3 linked regions of the Arabidopsis thaliana genome follow. The protein of the gene in region 1 interacts with the protein of each later gene in a pairwise test. Each region holds a gene or a part of one and is shown in the gene's direction. Other genes may lie near its edges.

Region 1 (7,462 bases):
GGTTTCAGCAATATCTTGACGATGCAAAGGCGGGGAAAACCAAGGTAGCTGCTGGTGCTGTGTTGCCTCATGAGATAATCAGAGAGTTAGACGGTGGAGACGGTGGACAAGTAGCAGAGCTGCAATGGAAGAGAACGGTAGATGATATGAAAGAGAAAGGTTCTTTGAGGAATTGTATAGCTGTCTGTGACGTTTCAGGGTCTATGAATGGTGAACCAATGGAGGTTTGTGTGGCTTTGGGTCTGCTAGTCTCTGAGCTATCTGAAGAGCCATGGAAAGGAAAGCTAATAACTTTCAGCCAAAATCCGGAGTTGCATTTGGTGAAAGGAGACGATCTGTACTCAAAAACAGAGTTTGTTAAAAAAATGCAATGGGGTATGAACACTGATTTTCAGAAAGTGTTTGATTTGATTCTTGGAGTGGCCGTACAAGAGAAGCTGAAGCCGGAAGAGATGATCAAGAGGGTGTTTGTGTTCAGTGATATGGAGTTTGATCAAGCGGCGTCGTCGTCACATTATTCAAGACCAGGCTATGCATTTTTAAGGCAGCCTCCAAGTAATCCAAGTAATGGATGGGAAACGGATTATGAAGTGATTGTGAGGAAGTATAAACAGAATGGGTATGGAGACGTTGTGCCGGAGATAGTGTTTTGGAACTTGAGGGATTCGAGAGCAACGCCGGTGCCGGGAAACAAGAAAGGAGTGGCTTTGGTGAGTGGCTTTTCGAAGAATTTGATGAAAATGTTTTTGGAACATGATGGAGAGATTGATCCTGTGATGATGATGGAGACTGCTATTTCTAAAGATGAGTATAAGTCGCTTGTTGTTGTTGATTAAGAAGCTTTACTGTTTTTTTGAGTTTGGTTTTGTATTCCTGTTTCATGGTTGAAGCTTCCATTGCAATTTTATTTTAATAAATTTGGCCCATTGATTTTACTTTTTTTTTCTGAACCAAGTAATCGATACGAGACCACTAACCTGGCTTTTATTCATCAATCGATGCTCTCTCTACACGTAACCTGCTTCAAAACACTCATAGTTCGCCGGAAACAATCACTCGTATCATCGGATCTCGGCGTTTAGAATTCAGAATCCGACGACTTTGGCGAGCAAACCTTACGCAAACTATGGATGGTATTGGAAATGAACGACAACAAGAACAACCGTTTCATTTACAGATTTACTTCTTCAAATGGGCTTTTCTTCTCTAAATGGGTTTACTACCTTAAGGGGCTTTTCAACTATAGGTTCAATTATATTCTTATGTAAGGGTACTAACTAGTGTGGGCTGTAAACGACTTAAAGTTTCGGCCATTTAGTTTTATGCAAGAAAAAAAATATAGATAATACAGTAATGATGAATCCACTATACATGTTAAATCCAATATAATAAATCCACTATACATTAGTGTTCTCATATTTCGTTTCAAGATTCGATTCAAAAAATTTGAAAATGTTAAATATGTGTTTCTGAGATTAAAGGCCAAAAGAAGGGTAAGGTCGTATATGAAAGGTGGACAGAGGGGCAAATTAGTCAGCTTGAAAAATACATCGACATTAAAAATCGGCAGCACTGACAAAACGTGTGATAACACAAATAAAAATAATCGGAAGAAAAAGAATAAATAAGGCGTATTGACTCTGGAACGTGAGAAGATGAAAGAGAGCGACGAAAACCTCTAAAGACTTATCGAGAAGTGCACCTTAGCCTAGTGAATAATGATATGTATTGACATTAACTACTACTACTACAGCTCCCAACACGTGAAAGACATGCATCTAACTCTTTCACTTTCGGTTGCCAAGAAAAAAAAAAAAAAAAAACTTTCACTTTCGGCATCAAATATATACTACTAAAAAAGTTTTTTATACGTAATTCTTTTTTAATATTTGATTAGTTCAGAATATTAATTAAAAAAATTACTTTTCGTAATCACTACATTTTGTAGTTATATGATTTTTAATTTAAAATAGTAAAAAGGAGAAATGTAACTAATTAAGCTAACATGCGCGCGATAGAATAAGGTGAAGTTTAAATTTGAGCACAAGATAGAAAATTGAGGTCAATTTAATTCGGAAGTGGTTCAAGGTATATTTTCACAAGAAAGAAAAACGTGAGTTCATTGAATCCCTCTATAACTTTACTTGAGAACAATGTAATAATATGTAAATCTGTTAGGAAACGAGCAGCCACATATGCTTTAAACAAGAGAACAAGAAAAAGAGCGGCCACATGTGAAAAAAAAACACCAGCCAAAATGTGAAACTAAGAAAAGAAAAGAAAAACCATCGACATCGTCCAAAGGATCGACCCGTCTTTTCTGGTTTGGCAGAAAACAAACTTCCAAGTTCCGACTTGACCTAGTCTTTATGCATCTGCAGTGGTGTTTTCTTTAAATCTTTTTTTGAATGGATTTGAAAATCTTATTTTTTCTTCTTCTTTCAAAACACTAACTGTGAATCACCACCAACATTTTATTGTTCTAAAATCCCTATTTGTATGTTTTATTGGTTACTTTCCCAAATATGATGAAAGTTTATTGGTGTACTTTAGTTTAGAAATGTAAGAAATTTCAGTTGTATTATTAGGTCAACCAAATATTATTCTTGAATAGTAATGTCAAATTTTGTTTATATTGAAAAATCAATAAGACTGATATCTACTAAATGTGATTTGCTATACTAGTAGAGCTAGTAGTAGCAAGATTAAAATTCATATTAAGAAAAAATGGAAAAGAAAAACATGTTTCGAGAAAAATATACAGATCAGAGACTAGAGTAGAAAACAAATATAATGTCAGAAGAACCCAATGTGACGAACAGTAACAGAAACATGTTACCAAATTTTTGAAGATATATTTTTATAAAACATTACAATGTTCATTGGACTTCCGTTATTTCCGGATATAAAATATCTTCTTTCTGCGTAGCAAGCAATTACATTACATTAGGTATATTAAGAATTTAAACATGTGTTTTGAATCATTAAATTAATTAGATAAGTAAGAGAAGAGGTTGGGAGCCTAATAAAAACAAAACAAAAAGGAAAAAGTGGATAGGTTGCCAATTGTGCCGAAAAGAAAGAGAAAGCATGAACCTCGTGCGTTAAATAAGTATCAGAGACATACTACATTTTAAAAACTCTCACATGAGAAATCAGAATCCGTTATTATTCCTCCATTTATTCATCTCAAAACCCATATCTCTCTGTCTTGATCTCTCTCTCACTTTCTAATAAGATCAAAGAAGATGTCGAAAGCTACCATAGAACTCGATTTCCTCGGACTTGAGAAGAAACAAACCAACAACGCTCCTAAGCCTAAGTTCCAGAAATTTCTCGATCGCCGTCGTAGTTTCCGAGGTTCGTTTGGTTTTTAGTCGCTCTCTCTTTTTTTTTTCTTGCGATAAATCGAATTTATTCATATGGAACTCCTGCAGATATTCAAGGTGCGATTTCGAAAATCGATCCGGAGATTATCAAATCGCTGTTAGCTTCCACTGGAAACAATTCCGATTCATCGGCTAAATCTCGTTCGGTTCCGTCTACTCCGAGGGAAGATCAGCCTCAGATCCCGATTTCTCCGGTCCACGCGTCTCTCGCCAGGTATTTTTGTCTTTCCGGTAAAGTTTTTTTTTTCTTTCTAACTTTTTTGGCGCTACCAGAAAAGACGAAAAAATTTGAAATTCAAATTTTCAAAACATTCATTTTCCTCAGGTCTAGTACCGAACTCGTTTCGGGAACTGTTCCTATGACGATTTTCTACAATGGAAGTGTTTCAGTTTTCCAAGTGTCTCGTAACAAAGCTGGTGAAATTATGAAGGTCGCTAATGAAGCAGCATCTAAGAAAGACGAGTCGTCGATGGAGACAGATCTTTCGGTAATTCTTCCGACCACTCTAAGACCAAAGCTCTTTGGCCAGAATCTAGAAGGAGGTTAGTATAATAAAAATAAAAATCACTTAGTGCTGGATTCTTCTAGAATTTTAGTTACATATTATTGCATGTAGAGATCTAAGAAGAGTTTGTTGTTAGAGAGGAATTGGTTGCTAATTAGTTTGGAATTAGATATCAAAGAGTTAAAGACTATAGTTTATGTCTATACGTATTAATATACGTTATTAATAAAAGTATAAACATGTTGTTTAATTTCTGATAAGAAACTGGTTTATGCGTGTGTATGCAGATCTTCCCATCGCAAGGAGAAAGTCACTGCAACGTTTTCTCGAGAAGCGCAAGGAGAGGTAATGATTCTTCAACAATCCAAGGATTTTTACCCCCAAATAATTAAAGAAAGGTTTTTATTTTTCTCTCTCTCGACCTTTTTTTTACTATAAGTTATTTAAGATAGTAATTATGGGTCCTGCCTCTTTTACTCTCACATACAACTTAAGATTCAACTAGTTTTGTTCAACAACGCACATGCTTATACGTAGATAGATAATGGAGATCAGTAGTAATATCGGTATACGTAGGTTACTATTGTAATGGAACTTTTAAAAAGCGCGTTGACTTTGAGTCTTTGACTCTAGTTCTGTTTGCTACACCGACAAGTTATATTTTTCAAAATGATGAGAAAACGAGGAGAAACACCGGAAAAAAATTTGAACTTTTACTTTTATCAGACCATACGGCCAAAGAAAGATCTGTATATTATATAAGTTATCACAAAACGCGGTTTCACATTTTCTTTTTCGTCTTGTTGTGTTTGCAGATTAGTATCAACATCTCCTTACTATCCGACATCGGCCTAAACGATCTCTTTTTAGATTGGGACATGGACCAAATTTGTCTTTTTCAATCGGAAGACATCCATGTTCGTTTTTGGATTTGGCTTATTTCCAATCTTCTTTTGAAGCCTTCTTCGTCGTTGCTAAATCGTATACTATTCACGACAAACGTTTTTAGGAGATTACGTTACCTACTAAGATTATATATATTGGTTTGTTTTTAAAAATGTCTATTATCTTTATTGTCATTGATAGCTTGATTTAAGAAGCTCTCTCTTATCCCGTGACCTTCTACTTTTGTTTTATTTTTTAGTATATGGTAAAGAAAATTATAACACGCCTCTTTTAGCTTCTCATGAAGCTTCCGTATCAGAGTATTATTAAAGGAAATGTGGCCATTCATCTTTGATTATATTGGTTGGTCTCTAGCTTGGGTTGTCCTAATTGTTATAATGGAAAACAGTTTAAGAAACACGTGAGTATTAGTTATATAATACTATCAAGTCTACCCGACTAATTGTGTCTTTATGTCAAAAGTCTTTTAACATGAGTTTGGTGGAATTTGTACATTGGAATGAAGATGAAAAGAAGTGGTAAAGTGAACGTACTTTGTGTGGCTTCTTTTAGACAATTACCCCTTTCATTGAATAGTATCCATCACTAGTACTAACAAAAAAGGGATGGCTGGTCCGGATTTAAGAAACAAAAACCACACAACCATTCACTGCGTCTTCTTTATCATTGAAACCAAGATACTGTAGCTTATTGATATGAAATAAATACCACCATGTGCATACGTGAGAGTTTTTTTATTACATGTAGTTTCTTAAAAATGTTTTCGTGTCTCTTTAAGTTGTGTCAAGTAAATTGCTTCTCATTTAATCTACTGCGATGACATAAACTTAGTTTGCACATTGCAATGGCTAATGAGAGTACTAAACTTACATCATGTTGTTTAAGCTTTGAAGATGGAATACCGTATATCAAGTTTTAATTAGTAGCTCTGATTCAGATGTTTGGTTTAGATTCAGATTCAGATTAGTCAAGTGTTTGGCTTTGGTCAAGTTGACTGCATAAGCCAATCCTAATATCTTTGATTCATCACGAGTAATTCAAATTAATTATTTGATTCGATTTGGTCCAACACCAACAGTTTATCCTGTTCGTCTGGAAAAAATCTAATATATCAACCAGCTATTTACATAGCATTCGGCCAAATCATTCCAATAGAATGAAACATCCTATATCAATCAACAGATCGAGAAAATGAATGTCCAAAAACAAAACCTGTACTAACTGATTCACATCAGTTTGGAAACAAACTTAAGAAACAGGAATACTTAATTTGAGGAAAATCCTTGTAAATTTGATTATAAAAAAAATTACTTGCTAGATGGCAATACAATCTGCGGAACTGAGAGATTTCATAACCCAAAAAAAAAGGAAATTGCATAATTTAAAATTCACCATTATCAGTTTTGAGCAAACAAAACAGAAGTTAGAAAAGAGATTGACGAATCGGGACATCAGTTTTAAAAAGCTCGATTTATATAATCCGCATGAGTTATAGGAAAGCACCGTTGTAGTGCAAAATATTCATCATCTGCTCCGATTCGTTCAATCAATTTTTTCAGTTGAAATTAAGATTCAGAAAAACAAGAGGAAAACTAAACACCAACTTCAAAACAAATTCTAGCAATCCTAGCTTAGAAATTCAGATCTTAAACATGGAATAACAAATAACGAAGAGTATTGAGAAGGAGAGCTAACGAAACGAATCTGAGTCTGTTGGGTCATCACAGCTACAGCCCTCTTTTATAGGGTGAAGCCTTTAGACTCAGAGAAACCCTAGTTTTGAATTTGGTTATCGAATCTGGGCCACATGGGTCACACTATTACACATTATTGGGCCGGCCCATATCTCTTTAAATTTGGTTTATCCAGAATCATTCGATCTCAGTTGGGAAAAACCGGTTTTGAATAAACCGGATTGGACACTACTCCACTACTTGTCTCCACTCTGCTCGTAATCCGCATGATCGTGTTCATGAGAATAATTCATGTTGCGCAGACTCGCAGATTGATGATCCGATGCAATCGCATTCGACAATGTGGGTTTTCTGTGAAAACTGCGGCATTGGATTTAGAATCGTCGGATTCGATAATCCCAGGCTTAGACTCTCATGCTTACGGTGCAATGCTCCGTCGCTGCATTCAGAAGAACGACCCAATTTCAGCAAAGGCTATTCATTGCGACATCTTGAAGAAAGGAAGCTGCTTAGACCTTTTCGCCACAAACATTCTACTCAACGCTTATGTGAAAGCTGGCTTTGACAAAGATGCGTTAAACCTGTTCGACGAAATGCCTGAGAGAAATAATGTCTCTTTTGTTACTCTTGCGCAAGGGTATGCGTGTCAAGATCCCATTGGTTTGTATTCCAGGTTGCATCGAGAGGGTCATGAGCTTAATCCACACGTCTTCACTTCTTTCTTGAAGTTGTTTGTTAGTTTGGACAAAGCTGAGATTTGTCCATGGTTGCATTCTCCTATCGTTAAGCTCGGTTATGATTCTAATGCTTTTGTTGGAGCTGCGCTTATTAATGCTTACTCTGTCTGTGGTTCTGTTGATAGTGCAAGAACTGTTTTTGAAGGGATTTTGTGCAAAGACATTGTTGTTTGGGCAGGAATTGTATCTTGCTATGTAGAAAATGGATATTTCGAGGATTCTCTTAAGCT
Region 2 (8,360 bases), on another chromosome or scaffold:
ATGCTTCTTCGTATTAGGGCTCCGAGTTTCCTCTTTAGAATTTGATTTCGGTTTCTTCTTATCGGATCGAATCGGAGAATCGGAGCCAACAGATCGTGGACTGTTGCTGCTACTGGGACTAGAAGATCTCGATTTCTTCGAGGAGAAGAAGAGTTTGCTCTTGAACACCATATTTGACTTCTCTCGAGAGATTTCCAAACCTCAAACCTTACCACAACAAACACGTTACGGCAAAATTCCAAAACGCCATATCCAATTCAAAAGCAAAATCTCTTCTCGCTATGTCTCTTACCTTCAATCTCCGTTACGATTTCAAAAACTTAAGAAAATTCAAAACCAAGCTTTCGATGAATGGACGAAGAAGACGACGGACGTAACTGTTAAGTGGGACACTAATCTTTTATTAAAGCCTAAAACGAAGAAGATTAGGGAAACAAATAGTCAAACCTGTTAAAGACGAAACTTGACTATGATTAAACGTTAATGACTTTCAAACTGAAGATTAAGTACTAAGGACTGCATTTTCTTATTTTATATGCATAAATGAGTAAAGTAGATAAGACTATGAATGAAGAAAACAAAAAAGATAAGACTATGAATATAATTTCTTGAAGATTTTATCATAAATGAATTTATTGTGACTTGAAGAGTTTTAAATTTTTGGAGAAAAATAGAAAGAAATTACATAGTTTTGAATTTTTTGATATTATATAGAAGCTTTCGCCTTTCGCGCGTAATTTTAAATATTTAAATTAATAAATCTAACTAATTTTAATTATCGTTGTGATTTTATATGTTCATACTAAATCGTGTAATAATTTATTATGTATGTACAAAAGTTATAGTTTTGAATTTTTGATTAATAAAAGATATTTCGGTCGTATTTTTGTTTATAATTGAGTTAATCAATCCAACTAATTTTTAATTTTTCATTATCGTTGCAGTCAAATAACATTTTTTTTTCTTTCGAAAATTTAGCTTTAATTAATATTAGAAACTTTTGGGCATATTATTATTTATATATGAATAAAGAAATCTAACAAATTTTCAACACTGCTGGAATTTGATATATTTGCACCCACTAAAGTAATAATTGTTAGATACAAATTTGAATAGTTATAGTTATATTTAATGTTAGAAGATAATATCTATATAAATTATTTGATATGGACCTAATAGATAATTTTTGTAATTATTTACTTCTAATTAAACTAATTCAGATTTTTCGAATAACAAGTATTTTTATTTATTTCTTACTAAATTAATTCAGATTTTTATAATAAAAATATGTTAAAACTTTTTCTTTTTGAATTTAATGTTAAATTATATTAAAAAGAAAAATAAACTTGTTACATATGAAATGCTAATTGTTTTGAGAGTTTTTTTAAAGAAAAGGAACTTCTAATTGTCTATTATCTATTGCCTTGATTCAAAGTTTTAAACCAAACTTGGATGCCATCTTTGAACTTCAATCCTCCACTACCTTGAATTGTGCTCAAACGGTTTCTAAGATTCTTGTCTATAATCTTCACAAGTATTTCCGTCGGTGATGATTGCTCCCCATGCCTGATGCCTCCTCCTATTTTGTTCATTCCAAATTGAGTGTATAGAGTTCTGTCTGTAGTGCATACCTAAGTATGTAGCTCTTCGTTTTGTATAGAAGGTTTTTAGATAAAGTTTTCATAACCTCTGTCCAACTCGCCGAATATCTGTCCGAGAGAATTCCCCTTGTTAAGTCTTCCCATATCTTTTTTGAGTAGGCGCAGTGGAAAAATAAGTGTTCCTTCGTCTCTCTACCTGTTCATTGCAAAAAATGCAACTCGAATCTACATTACATACCACTTTCTCATTGTCTCTCTACTCAAATTCTGTTTTTCACAACCAACCAAGTAAAAAGGGATACTTTGGAGTAACGTATGGGAACCATATCTCATTGTGTCCCTCTATCGACAACTTTGCTAAAACTTGTGTTCAACGTTCTCTTTTTGTTATGTTTTTTCTTTTTAAAATCTGGAACCTATATAAAATCAGCTTATTAGAATATATTTATAAACTTTAATTTTTAATTTTAAAAATATTATATGGTAATGACTTATATAATCTCAAGAAGAATTGTTTTTTCCATAATTCGTATGGAGCCTTATATTTTTTTGGTCTGGCTCTGGTTCTATGTGGCAAGTTTTGCAGCTTGCTCATAAATTCATAATGCCAAGGGTAAGCTCCATACACTCGAACTTGGTATGAACATGGGAGCTCAGCAGTGTACATGTACTTGTAATTTAACCTCATGACTATTAACTCTTACAGTTCCGAAAATAACCTCTTTCTTAGGAACTCTTAGGGTTTATCCAAAAACAAAAATACTTTGATATATTAACAAACGAAATCTAACAACAGTAAAAGAGGAAGTTCTCCGTATGGGAGAACCAATACGAAGCATAAATGCTAGATTTTAACAAATGAAATCTAGCCTTTTTAACAAGGACATGAGCATACCAAAAAAAACTTTAAACGAGAAAAACCATCAATCTCTATAAAAAAGAAGGCCATTCATCCGGGATGGCTACGATCTATAGGTTAATTCTTATCTAAAAAAAACATTAATCAAAGATAAATCAATAATGAGGCACTGCATGACCCAAAGCAAGAATTCAAACTTTGTATGAAGAGGGATCGAGACGACGGTGAAAGCTCTTCTCAACCACATTATTACCATGTTTTGTTGTGTAGAATGAATGAGTCAATGACTCAATGCACTACAAATAATTGCTCTCTTTTAACTTGAGAATAAGGGTTCTTATTATAATGCTTATCAGCTTTAAATATAAAAATAAATAATGTAAAACATTATTTTAAGTTTGATATTAACGACATATTTATATATTTATATATTTATATCCAAGTTGTTCAAAATAAAAATAAATATATATATTTATATCCGATGATTGAATTTCTAATATTGGAAGTTTATTCCGGAACAGGAAAGCAGACGTGGGATATACACATACCGCATCGGATGATTTATATTAAAAAAATATATGTATACATCATTAGAGGAATCATAAATCGGCGGTGTGTGTAACTTCAACTCACGTTTTTCATTTCTCTCCAAAGTCCTTCAATTGTTACTAATTCTCTCTGATCTCTCATTTCTTCTCTTCTCCGGTGACATTTTTTTTCTCCCCCGCGAAAGCTAAACCGTTTTTGTATTCTCAACGATTGATAAGCCTGATGGAGAGAGATTTTCTCGGGCTGGGATCAAAGTTATCTCCGATAACTGTGAAGGAGGAAACTAACGAAGATTCAGGTAATTCATCTTCAACATCTTCCATTATGATCTGATGATTGTGTTTTTCATCTCACTTTTTTTTGTTTCTATTTTTGTAATCTCTTTTTTTGTTTATTGTTCAAGTACATATATATTGTTTTTCTAGCTTGATTGGGAGTCCTACTGTCTGGTTTTTTCTTGAACAAGAAATTTTTTCTTCGTTTTCTCGGGAAGAGAAAAAATAAATTAGGGTTTCTTTTTTCTTGATATATATTTAAGAAATTAGGTTTTAGTACTATAGACAGAAATTTAGCTACTCGAATTTGTTTGACGTAGCCGATGAAAAAACACGTTTTGGGACTCGATAGTTAGAAAATTCATACGTTCACGATCTACTTTTGAAGTTTTTTTCATTAAATATTTTTTGCAAACTACAAATGTACAAGTATACAACTATACAAGCAAACACCAAACTTGTTGACGTTAGTAATTTAACAAGTGTTAGTATTATCTTTGAAAAATAATATTCAGAGAACAAACTTGATTTTCTAGGTGACTAGGTGATGCATGTTTCTAAAGCTGTTGGTAATGTTGAGTGTTTTCAAAATAATTTCGTTTTTTTCTTCAAACAGCCGACACCGACAGAACAAAAATGCTATATTTTTTTTGTTGCTTACAAAATTGATCAATTGGTTTCAATACAATAGTATCTTCTTTAGAAAAGATTGTTTTTTTCAAAGCCGGATTGAATATTGAGAATTAGAACATTGGCTGGTTATTCTTTTTGAAAAGTTTATGCCATTTTTTAAGGTTTATTAAGCAACTTGAATTCTATCAGTATTATTTAAAAACGAAGACGTGAAATGTTGGGAAAAGAATGCGTTATATAGCGACCGGCTGACGATTAGAGATTTAACAACAAATGCAAGTTGAATTATATAAAAGCAAGATTGATTGTGACTTGATTAAGTTTTATTTCTATCCAAGTAGACTCATTGATTAAGTTAGGATCATGTTGGGTATTAAATTTAGATCAAGTTACAATTTGGATGAATAATTTACTTACCCACGAGGAATTTAATAGTTAGTTCTTGTCTTTTTATATTCCGAAACGTGCCATTTCTTGAAAGTATTTGTATGATCACTATTTTCCCCAGTGTGTTTGGCTTTATGCAGATTTGTTCATTGTTGATGAATCTAATGTTAAGAGTCGTCCACTTTAGCATAGCTAGATCTGAGTGTTTCCTAGTTTGATAAAATCTAAAGACATTTGCTCATGTTTCAGCCCCAAGTAGAGGTATGATGGATTGGTCATTCTCAAGCAAAGTCGGTTCTGGTCCTCAGTTTCTTTCTTTTGGGACATCCCAACAAGAAACGCGTGTAAACACAGTCAATGATCATTTGCTTTCTTCTGCTGCAATGGATCAAAACCAGAGAACTTACTTCAGCTCACTACAGGTTAGGCTATTTCTTGAAAAGAAAAAAAGTAGTGATAAAGTGTGATTTAGTGACCTTGTAAGAAAGCTTGGCAATTGGTTTAGTTTCTTCTGGTCTCAAAATTGATACAAAATGATCTCAGGAAGACAGAGTGTTCCCAGGTTCCAGTCAGCAAGACCAAACAACCATCACAGTCTCCATGTCCGAACCAAACTACATCAACAGTTTCATAAACCACCAACATTTAGGAGGATCTCCTATCATGGCACCTCCAGTTTCAGTATTTCCTGCTCCAACCACTATTAGGCATGCACTGCATTCTATCTTCTTCTGTTTAACATCAGATACAGAACCTCTTTACTTCTATAGTTGACTCGAGCTCCTTTATGTTCATCTCCAGATCTTCTTCAAAACCACTTCCCCCTCAGTTGACAATCTTTTATGCCGGTTCAGTATTAGTTTACCAAGACATAGCTCCTGAAAAGGTAACCAAATTTCCTTCAATATGTGTTACATTACAGTCCAAGCTATCCACTGACTAAGTATTCAATCAAAGAAATAAGTTTCACGTATAGACATGCTGAAGTTATAGAAAGTTACTAACCTGGTTTCAACATACAGTATGTTAATGATTCATAGATATGATAAATCTTTGTCCTTACTTCTTCATTTATTTTGTATTCATAGGCCCAAGCTATCATGTTGCTAGCCGGAAATGGACCTCATGCTAAACCGGTTTCACAACCTAAACCTCAAAAACTGGTTCATCACTCTCTTCCAACCACTGATCCTCCAACTATGCCTCCTAGTTTCCTGCCTTCCATCTCTTACATTGTCTCTGAAACCAGAAGTAGTGGATCCAACGGGGTTACTGGACTTGGACCAACAAAAACAAAGGCGAGTTTAGCATCCACGCGCAACAACCAAACTGCTGCCTTCTCTATGGCTCCAACAGGTTATAAATGAAGTCTTAACTCCTATTAATGTTTTGTCATCAAACTTCTATCTTAGGTTTAGTTTGTTATAACCAAAAAATCTTGCTATGATTTAATACAGTGGGTTTACCACAAACACGCAAAGCATCCTTGGCTCGGTTCTTAGAGAAACGCAAAGAAAGGTACTGAGCTACAAGATTATTCACTTATTCACAATATCAAAACACAGGTTTGCTGTATATTGGCTTCGTTTTCTTGCAGGGTCATTAACGTATCACCTTATTACGTAGACAACAAGTCATCAATAGACTGTAGAACACTGATGTCTGAATGTGTAAGCTGTCCTCCAGCTCATCATCTGCACTAAAACCAATTTAGACCCCTCATTGTTCTAAAGGCTTTTTCTTTTTTCTCTGGCTCTGTATCCTATAGACTATAGTATAGTTGTTATAGCTTTTGTTTATTCAGATTTTAGTACACTGGGCTTGTAAAAGCAAGTTATTTATATATATCCTATAAATTTAATTTGGATACTGTATGTTTTGTCTTTACTCTTGCATGTGTATAAAAAACATAAAAGTAAGACTATTCAAGCTCTTCTAGATTTTGTTGAAGTCAACTTTATGTTTATACTTTTTTTTCGATAATTGATATAAAATATTTCCACCAGCAGATGAAAGTCATTTAATTAGTTGGTGCCATGTGCTATATCAGAAAATAAAACATTAGTTTATATACTTAATCAGTCCTCGTCGTCGTCGCCATATATAGTAGATCAAGAATCTTGGATGAGACAAAGAGAAGATCCTGGAGGAGAAAAAGATGACAAAACTCGTTTCCAAGATATTTAAGAGGTTGATTTCTCAAAGTCAGTACATGTCTTCTTCTACTACTAGCAATCTCCCTGCTGCTTCACAAACTTCCAATCTTGAGAGCCAATTGCTTTCTTCAGCTCCACCACCCGCAAGTATCTTGCACATGCTCTCTCTCGTCTAATTTGTGATTAAGTTCTGAATCTTGGTTCTGAATCTTTGTGTAAAAATGTTTTGCAGAGAAGAAAAGAGGGTCAGCGTTGTTATGGTACTTAGTTGGATTCACTACTTATGGTCTCGGTGAGACGTATAAGTTCCTACAAACACAAGTGGTCTGTGATTTTCATTATATACATTTTAATTATACGTGTTGTTCTTTGATCTGCTAAAGAATTTGTTCAAACTCTTTTGTTTCAAGTACAAGGAACATCTTGATTCTAGAAAACAATGCTTGGAAATGAAACCAATGAAGCTGAATACAACGAAAGATTTGGATGGGTTAGGATTTCGACGGGTGGTATGCAAAGGCATTTTCGATGAGCAAAGATCGATCTATGTGGGTCCAAAGCCTAGATCCATGTCTAAAAGTTCTGAAATTGGCTTTTATGTCATTACACCTCTTTTGCCAATCCCTAATGAACCTAATAGGTCAGGGATTTACTCTCTATATGCGCAAACCAAACTAAAGTCTTTTTGATCTCCATATATACCATCTTGATGCAAATATCTTTTTTCTTGTATATTTAAGTGTTTGGATGCAACATCTAGACTAGATGCAAATACTTGCAAATTTTGTGTCTCTTACAAATAAGGTTGCATACAAATGCACCAAAACAAACAAACAAACAAACATGGTCTAACTATCTTTTTCTTCTTCCTTTTGTCACTAGTATGAAGTCCCCTATTCTAGTAAATCGCGGATGGGTTCCTTCGGATTGGAAAGAAAATTCTCTAGAATCTCTAGGTACTGGTGGTCTTGTTGCTGCTGCAAAAGAGTCAAGAAAAGCTAATAAACTTCTCTCCTCTCAACAAAGTCTCTTGTCGAAGTTCTGGTACAAGTTGAACAACCCAATGATTGTTGAGGTTGGTCTTCATTTCATAAACTTAATGAGTACTCAATCATTCATTGCATGATTTGATATCATAGTTAAGTGTTATTGGAATATTTTTTAGCAGGACCAAGTCTCTAGGGCTATGCATGTGGAAGTGGTGGGTGTAGTTAGGAAAAGTGAAACTCCAGGCATATATACTCTAGTAAATTATCCAAGTTCGCTTGCGTGGTTCTACCTTGACGTTCCTAAACTAGCTCTAGCCATGGGGTTTGGTGAGGACACAATGTATATAGAGAGTACGTACACAGATATGGATGAAAGTAGAACTTATCCAGTTCCAAGAGACGTTGAGAACTTGACTCGTAGTAAGGATATACCACTGGACTATCACTTGTACACAGTTTTGTGGTAATTAACAAACATAACATCGAACTTATTGCACTAGTAACTGGTTGTTTTTGTTTGTTTGTTTATGGTAGTGTGCCTGATTGTTTCTATATGCAGGCACTGGAGTTCCCTGACTTGCTTTATTAAGGCGTCTTCGATTTTAATGCGAAGATTAACAAAATCTGATCCTATTGGTGTAGAGCCAATATTGATTCCAATTTCCATTCTCGTTTTTATATGTACCAAGATATACAGTCTTCGTAACTTATTTTGTAAAATAGACACTATTGGTGTTGGGTGTGTCACTAAACTCGACACAGGAAAAGTCAAATGACATGCCCAATGAAGTCCATAATGAAGGGTGAATAAGTTCGAAATCGCGGTTCGGATTGACTAAGATCGGTGGCCACCAGAAGATCGCAGAGAGGATATGGATTGTGAGCTTGATTATAAGCAAAGGAGAAGAGAG
Region 3 (7,645 bases), on another chromosome or scaffold:
GTCTATGGTTTCCGAGCAAGAATTTCTGTCGGTAGAATTTCTAGTTTCAAGTCTGTCGGTGCATTTATAATTATACCAACCATATAAATCATCTATTTACGTGTTACTAAAATAAATTATCGAACAAAAAAACAGAATCTCGTAACTAAAACGTGTTGTGAAGTTGTGTACGTGAAAATTCGTGTAGTGAACCTAAAAAGAGAGCAAGTCTGAAATAAGAAATGTCGACGTATTCTTTCTTCAAACGTGTCCCAAAGCCGTCAACGTCTGTGACGCTGGTCCAAACGCATCACGTTCGTTTGTCTACAAAACTACAAATATATAAAAAAGGGTTTGCAAACAAGAAAATGAGTTTCTTAATTAGTCAAATAGTTATTGCTTTGATGACGTATTTTTCTGTTTTGTGCTTGATTTTGATGTTAAAGCCAGACGAGTCATACTAATATTCAATTGCACATGAATTTCTCACCTCGAACTAAATTTTGTTGCCAAGTAACTCAGCTTGTTTTCTTATTGTATCATTTGGTATTTTGGCTAACCAAACCCACTAGTTAAGTTAGCGTTAGCATTTGTCACACGTGAGACGTGTGAGATTATGATAAACAAAGAAAGCCACGTGGCGCATGATGTATTTTTGCCGTACTTTTGAATATAAAGGTTAAAAATGTCGACCTCATGTGGCCCATTGAAGCCCACGAAAAACGCGTGATATATAAAGAAGAATAGAAGATGAGTTGCGTAAACAAAGCGACTTATTTAGCCCCTTTGTTCCTAACCGAATTTTCCCAAGTAACACCACTTTGCAACATTAGTTTTACACATATTGGTAGCTTTCGAAGAAAACATACGTTGAATGACAAAATATATAGTACATATTAACATATATATACTCCCACGGTTCCTTTATACAAATATGTTTTAGAAAAACAAACTTGTTTTAAGATTTTATGCATGTTTTTCTATGTAGTTTTTAAAGTATAGTTTTCGAGAAAATATAGAGGTATATAAATGAACGGTAACACTTTTTTTAATAAGAAATAGTGATACAATATAAATTTTAGTACCTATATTATGAATTCACAATAGAGTCGGTTTTGTTAACTCGTTTTTATTTTTGGCTTATTTTCCCTACATTTTGTTGATAATCATTCAAGTTATATATCCTTTACACTTCTCAACTTATAAATGGATAGACGCGTTTATAATTGAGAAAAAGAATGCGAAATTGATAAGCTGCTCAAATCTTCTACAACTTTTCATCTACGAAATGGTTAGACGCGTTTTTCGTTAGAATAGAGAAAGAGAATGCGAAATTGCGAGGACAAAAGAAGTGAAACACGACAAATCATTTTTGCAATTTACGTTTTCAAAAGGCATATGAGACAGGAGAAGTTATTGTCTGCAATAAAGACCACCGTAGTCACGAGTGTCTCCACTTGACCCCACATTTTCCCTATCATTCGCTCTCTGCCATTCGATTATTGAGCCCTACTCTTATCCGTTATTGTTTTTTTATTCTCGTTGCATAATCTCACTAATGTATATATAACACTCGTTTGAATTTTGTTAAAACTATTTTGTTTTATTTTATATAAAATTACCGAAATTCAATCTACAAATTCAAATTTAAATTAGGTTCTCTACATATCTTAAAAAGATAAATAAGTGAAATTCATAATGATAAAGCCAATTTTGTTTTGTAACTATTATTAGCTTCTTTTTTCTTTTTTTTGAAGCAATGTATCTAATCTATTCTCTTCTAACGAAAGAGTATTAATTATTATAGACAAAAAAAAATAGTATTAAACAAGCCTACGCAAAACACGTTCAGTATTAGGTTATAGTTTTTAGTACTAATTAAAATATGAGATATGAGTTTTTTTGTTCTATTAGAACTTAAGAAGATAAAGAATTTATAAGTTGGTGCGACTCCGAATTACTCAAAAGACACCAATCATCGCGTTATCATCCTAATCTACAAAACAAGAGGTCAAATTTTGCATGTCACGTCACAATATTGTACATTATCATCACGTTTTTTTACAAAGCTTTAGTATATCAACGTATACATTTCAATGTACGAGTTTTCATTGTACTATCTATCCCTAAGTTTGAATTAGGTTTATCGAATCTCTTTCTTTATTTATATGCAAATTTTAATGATGTCATTTTAAATTATTATAAGAAAATATCCCCATACAAAACATGGTGAGGCTTATCTCATGCGATAATACTTTAAAATAGGTTATGAATATAATCATGTAATTATAAAAAAAGTTTTTAATTAATGGGGAGAAAACAATTAGAAAACTACAAACACATGATGATAGAAAAGTAGGTTAAAAGTCCATCACATGGTGCTCTCTCACAGAACGAGACCCTTTTTGTTGAACGTTACTGTTGGGCATGAGATTCACGCAAATCCTATGCGACAAATAATTTTCTTTCCATAAAAATCTAAATAAAGAAAGAACGTACCATTTTTTATATCGAAGTTAAGGACTATATATATACTATTGATAAGAATAATATACTCAGACTATACTATTAATTAAATGGACCCACGTTAATAACGATGTCTGAAATAACCAAAACCCCACCAGACAATTCAGACAATATTTCTTTGTTTCTTTATGCATGTGAGTTATTTTTATTGGTAGAGAAAAAAATAAAAACAAATAATTAATTTAGTACTATTTAGTACATAATAAATTTTAAAATATTTCGACCATGTGATCTATACTTCTTAAGTACATTACTATAATTTGAATCTCTCACGTAGGTACATACACACGTGTGTACACAAAACACTATTTTCTCTAAAATTTACCAAGTGCAAATATCGTTGTTTCACTAAAATCACCATCAAGTATGTATTACTTTTACGAAATTAATCGGATTTGGAGACAAATTCAAAGACTAGCCAGATTTAGGGGTGAGATAATCCATTTGCAAAATAGATTTGAAAAGAGATTTTAGATTTTCTATCTTTATTCGGAGAGAAACAATCAAAGTAAGTGAACTTAAAATCAGGAAACAGAGTTAATAATCAGAGTAATTATTAACCATGGTTAAGTTGAATAACCAAAGTAATTAACGTGCATAAGTAACCATGGTTGGGTTTTTAAAAAGAGCTTTCATACAAACTTCAATTACCCCAGCAAGTCTTGTCTCCTTCTCTCTCTCTCTCCCTCTCTAACTGTATCTTCTTCTTCTTCTTCAACCTTCAGACTTTTCTAGTTGCAACTCTCATTCAATTGTTCAATTTCTCTGTAAAAATCAAAGCTTTTTGGAATCTTTCTTCGGCGAGATATTTCTTCACCGGCGCAAGCTTCTCTTGAGCGTGATTCATCACTGGGTTTGCATTTTTTCCTGGTGGGTATTCTTCAAATTGTTCAAAGCTCCGACCTTTTCTTCCTTAGAATCTGATTACTGGAATCTTGAAGCTGGAGAGACTCGAGTTTATATGGTTTCAAGCATCGTTGAGTCAATCATTGAGTTGTGTAGAAGAAAGGTTTGGTTTTCTTCTCCGTTTAAGTGGTTTTGGGTTTGGTAGGATTTGGTGTAATCTGGGAGATAAAGAAAGATGAATATGAGTGATTTAGGTTGGGATGATGAAGATAAATCGGTGGTTAGTGCTGTTTTAGGGCATTTAGCTTCTGATTTTCTTCGAGCAAACTCTAATTCGAATCAGAATCTCTTTCTTGTTATGGGAACTGATGATACTCTGAATAAGAAGCTCTCTAGTCTCGTTGATTGGCCAAACTCGGAGAATTTCAGCTGGAACTACGCTATTTTCTGGCAACAAACCATGTCTAGATCCGGACAACAAGTCTTAGGTTGGGGAGATGGGTGTTGTCGAGAGCCTAATGAGGAAGAGGAATCAAAAGTTGTTAGGTCTTATAATTTTAACAACATGGGGGCAGAGGAAGAGACATGGCAAGATATGAGGAAGAGAGTGTTGCAGAAGCTTCATAGGTTGTTTGGTGGATCTGATGAAGACAATTATGCTTTGAGCTTAGAGAAAGTTACTGCTACTGAGATTTTCTTCTTAGCTTCCATGTATTTCTTCTTCAATCACGGTGAAGGCGGTCCTGGGAGGTGTTATTCTTCAGGGAAACATGTGTGGCTCTCTGATGCAGTTAACTCTGAGTCTGACTATTGTTTCAGGTCTTTTATGGCGAAATCTGCGGGAATCAGAACGATCGTTATGGTTCCTACTGATGCTGGTGTTCTTGAGCTTGGTTCTGTTTGGTCTTTGCCTGAAAACATTGGCTTGGTTAAGTCTGTTCAAGCTTTGTTCATGAGGAGAGTTACGCAACCAGTAATGGTGACTTCAAACACTAACATGACTGGAGGGATTCACAAGCTTTTCGGGCAGGATTTGAGTGGAGCTCACGCGTATCCTAAGAAGCTCGAAGTGAGAAGAAACTTGGATGAGAGATTCACTCCTCAAAGTTGGGAAGGCTATAATAACAATAAAGGTCCAACATTTGGTTACACACCTCAGAGGGATGATGTGAAAGTGCTAGAGAATGTGAATATGGTTGTAGATAATAACAATTACAAGACGCAGATTGAGTTTGCGGGATCATCAGTTGCTGCTTCTTCGAATCCATCTACAAACACTCAGCAAGAAAAATCAGAATCTTGTACAGAGAAAAGACCAGTGAGCTTGTTAGCAGGAGCAGGAATAGTTTCTGTTGTTGATGAGAAGAGACCGAGAAAGAGAGGGAGAAAGCCTGCAAACGGAAGAGAAGAGCCATTGAACCATGTGGAAGCTGAGAGGCAGAGACGCGAGAAGCTTAACCAAAGATTCTACGCTTTACGATCAGTTGTTCCAAACATTTCTAAAATGGACAAGGCTTCTCTACTTGGAGACGCAATTTCTTACATCAAAGAGCTTCAAGAGAAAGTCAAGATAATGGAAGATGAAAGAGTAGGAACAGATAAGAGCTTATCAGAATCAAACACAATAACAGTAGAAGAAAGTCCAGAAGTTGACATTCAAGCTATGAATGAAGAGGTTGTTGTAAGAGTAATCTCGCCTTTGGATTCACATCCAGCTTCAAGAATCATACAAGCAATGAGAAACTCAAATGTTAGTCTAATGGAGGCTAAGTTATCATTAGCTGAAGACACAATGTTTCACACTTTTGTGATAAAGTCTAACAACGGGTCGGATCCATTGACGAAAGAGAAGCTTATAGCAGCGTTTTACCCCGAGACCAGCTCGACGCAACCGCCATTGCCTTCTTCTAGTTCACAGGTCTCTGGTGATATATAAGTTTCACATGATGGTGAAGCTTTTGTCTATTCTTGTTTCAGTATAGATAACTTTCAGGTTCAACTAGAAATAGATAAAATCCTTTTTTCTTTTCTCTTTCTTATAGTGAAAGGAATCCGGTTTAAGTATATTCATTAACTTTATTTAGACCATTGATTCACATATTTGTATCTTGGGAAAATATTTCCTATACTTTAGAAAATCAAATAAAGTATGAAAGATATTTGACTTCTCTTTCTTTGTTATGGATGCTTTATTCAGTTACAATTTGGGATCCATTCTTTTTTTTTTTCAAATAAAGCAATAGTTATAACAAGTTAATATTATCCAATCAATGTTATTCAGGTAAATATTTGATTAATTATCTTGTAGAATGTTCATGTACATTTGAATTTTGAAGTGACCAAATCTTATATATTGGTCATGAATATGATATATTGACATTTCAAGAGACTGAGCTAAAAATTACTTAAAAATGAGAATCAATTATTTTTTTTCCATTGGTCCATTATTTTATGCAATGCAGCACATAATAATCTATTTTGGTTTTGGTTTGGGCTTCTGGTAGTTCTGAAAAGCCCAGTATAAAGCCCAACTCCATTAATGCATCTTCACCTCTACGACGAGAATTGTGCTTCCGATTCATTTCACATAGGGTTTGTTTCTCCGATCAGATCCAATTTCAATCCTTCTCCGTCAGATTATCTCCTCGGCCACGATGTCTCTCCGCCGCACTATCCTCGATCTCCACCGTCAAACCCAGAGAGCCACTCTCTCAAAGTCTCTACCTTTCTCGATGAGTCACATCTCCTCCGCATCCGCCACCGCCGCCGTGAGAAACCCACTGGGAAGAGACCTCTCTTCAATCCCCTTCGCACAAGCCCAGAAACTGAAACCAGATTCAACCAATCTCGTCACCGATCGCTCGATTTCGTCTTCAATTGGGCAATCTGAACTCAACAAGGCAGCCAAATTCTCGCGTCAATCGTCTTCTCGAGGTTACACTAATGGCTCTTTCTTACGCAAAATCCCTGTAGTCTTTCACATACATGAAGGAATGGAAGAGATTTTGGCGGATTATGTTCACCAAGAAATGACAAGGAATTTGATTGTGATGTCTTTGGGATTGTTCCAGATTATCGTTCTTAAAGATATTATCTTGTTTCTTCTCTGAAACCAAGTAAACATCTTTTGGGATCTAAGGAACACTCTCGATCATCATCACCTGTTAATGAATGAATAGTGTGGGCTAAAAAAAAGGTCTTTCCTTTTATCTTCTTTGTTTTATGAATAAGAACTTGATGCAATGTTGCATTTTTACCTTCAAGCTTTTGTTGTGTGTTGTTTCAGTTTCTGGTTTCGTGTATTTGATTCTGTAAGGCTTAAAATGGAATTCTAAGCCTGTTAATCTTTTGATTGAATAATGACAACTTTTCTCAGCTTTGAGGATCATTTAATCACTACGTTTGCATTTCGAATTTAGCTTTACTGTAATCAGAAGCACGAGAGACTTACGTGAGTTTTGCAGTAGAAAAGTTGTGGTTTTTACCAAGTAGATGGTTTGATTATATACAACTTTTGAAGAGATTTTCTGGTTTTGGATTTGGTGTGATCATTATAAAGGTGATGGAGACTCTCAAGAAGTCACAAACAGAGAATTGTCGATGTTATGTTTACTTAGATCAAACATGAGATTTTGAAGATATAAAGCTATCAAATTGAATCTTAGTTAGATGTTCATGAACCTGGTTAAGATGCAACTGGACCAACAATATTCATGTTCCATAGCAGAAAGCCTGAAAGGTTGAATAGAACAAAGGGATATGAAACGAGTTAAAGAAGCGAATTAAAAGGCCCATCTTTTTATCTGTAGGCCCATACGAATTACGATTGTACTGGTTCATTGATTCAAATACTAACTCTCTCCTTATCCGAAGTTTTAAAAGCATCCTAATCCAAAACGGTGAAATAATGACGATTAAAACCCCAAAGTCTCTGGCTTGGTTTCCACTCCAAGGGTAAAATACAAAACAAAATCAACGAAACTGCCGTACACCGTTGACAATAAACAAAGGAAAAGTGTACATTAAAGAAGAAGAAGAAGAAGCTTCATTGTACGCGTCACCTACGCGAACGAGGTGGAGACACGTGTCCTTCCTACCACTTTCCTTTTGAAAAACCTCTCTCTCTTTCCTCTAAACTCTTTTGACCCTTGTTTCGCGAGCTGTTTTGTACGCCATTAGATTGAACCCTAAAAACTCTATTATTGGATTGGATCATCATCGTTAAAGCTCCACGCCTTGTCCCAATTTCCTCTTTGGTTCTTTCCTTCTGGTAAGAATCCGCTCTCTTTCTCTC

The links.
Region 2: the proteins of JAZ10 (region 1) and JAZ4 interact in a two-hybrid assay, tested with the Arabidopsis thaliana proteins (one study listed by BioGRID).
Region 3: the proteins of JAZ10 (region 1) and AIB interact in a two-hybrid assay, tested with the Arabidopsis thaliana proteins (one study listed by BioGRID).

Annotation. Positions count from the first base shown.
Region 1 is NC_003076.8:4,215,753-4,223,214, forward strand, and holds JAZ10 (jasmonate-zim-domain protein 10), read left to right. Parts: upstream 1-3,075; 5' UTR 3,076-3,248; coding exon 3,249-3,360; intron 3,361-3,437; coding exon 3,438-3,932; coding exon of another isoform or gene 3,933-3,937; exon of another isoform or gene 3,938-4,182; coding exon 4,183-4,244; coding exon of another isoform or gene 4,245-4,287; 3' UTR 4,288-4,710; coding exon of another isoform or gene 4,711-4,750; 3' UTR 4,751-5,161; downstream 5,162-7,462. Other genes in the region: AT5G13210 (Uncharacterized conserved protein UCP015417, vWA), read left to right, coding at 1-836; AT5G13230 (Tetratricopeptide repeat (TPR)-like superfamily protein), read left to right, coding at 6,762-7,462. UniProt on the Arabidopsis thaliana protein: Repressor of jasmonate (JA) responses. Interacts with and suppresses RHD6 and RSL1 transcription factor activities to negatively regulate jasmonate-stimulated root hair development.
Region 2 is NC_003070.9:17,928,427-17,936,786, forward strand, and holds JAZ4 (jasmonate-zim-domain protein 4), read left to right. Parts: upstream 1-2,963; 5' UTR 2,964-3,231; coding exon 3,232-3,307; intron 3,308-4,173; exon of another isoform or gene 4,174-4,553; coding exon 4,554-4,726; intron 4,727-4,847; coding exon 4,848-5,011; intron 5,012-5,105; coding exon 5,106-5,190; intron 5,191-5,392; coding exon 5,393-5,660; intron 5,661-5,761; coding exon 5,762-5,822; coding exon of another isoform or gene 5,823-5,829; exon of another isoform or gene 5,830-5,901; coding exon 5,902-6,007; 3' UTR 6,008-6,236; downstream 6,237-8,360. Other genes in the region: AT1G48490 (Protein kinase superfamily protein), read right to left, coding at 1-171; AT1G48510 (Surfeit locus 1 cytochrome c oxidase biogenesis protein), read left to right, coding at 6,463-6,607, 6,693-6,784, 6,871-7,100, 7,343-7,535, 7,626-7,912, 8,009-8,225. UniProt on the Arabidopsis thaliana protein: Repressor of jasmonate responses. Interacts with and suppresses RHD6 and RSL1 transcription factor activities to negatively regulate jasmonate-stimulated root hair development.
Region 3 is NC_003071.7:19,088,829-19,096,473, reverse strand, and holds AIB (ABA-inducible BHLH-type transcription factor), read left to right. Parts: upstream 1-3,100; 5' UTR 3,101-3,586; coding exon 3,587-5,287; 3' UTR 5,288-5,521; downstream 5,522-7,645. Other genes in the region: SDH4 (succinate dehydrogenase subunit 4), read left to right, coding at 6,006-6,461. UniProt on the Arabidopsis thaliana protein: Transcription activator. Positively regulates abscisic acid (ABA) response. Confers drought tolerance and sensitivity to ABA.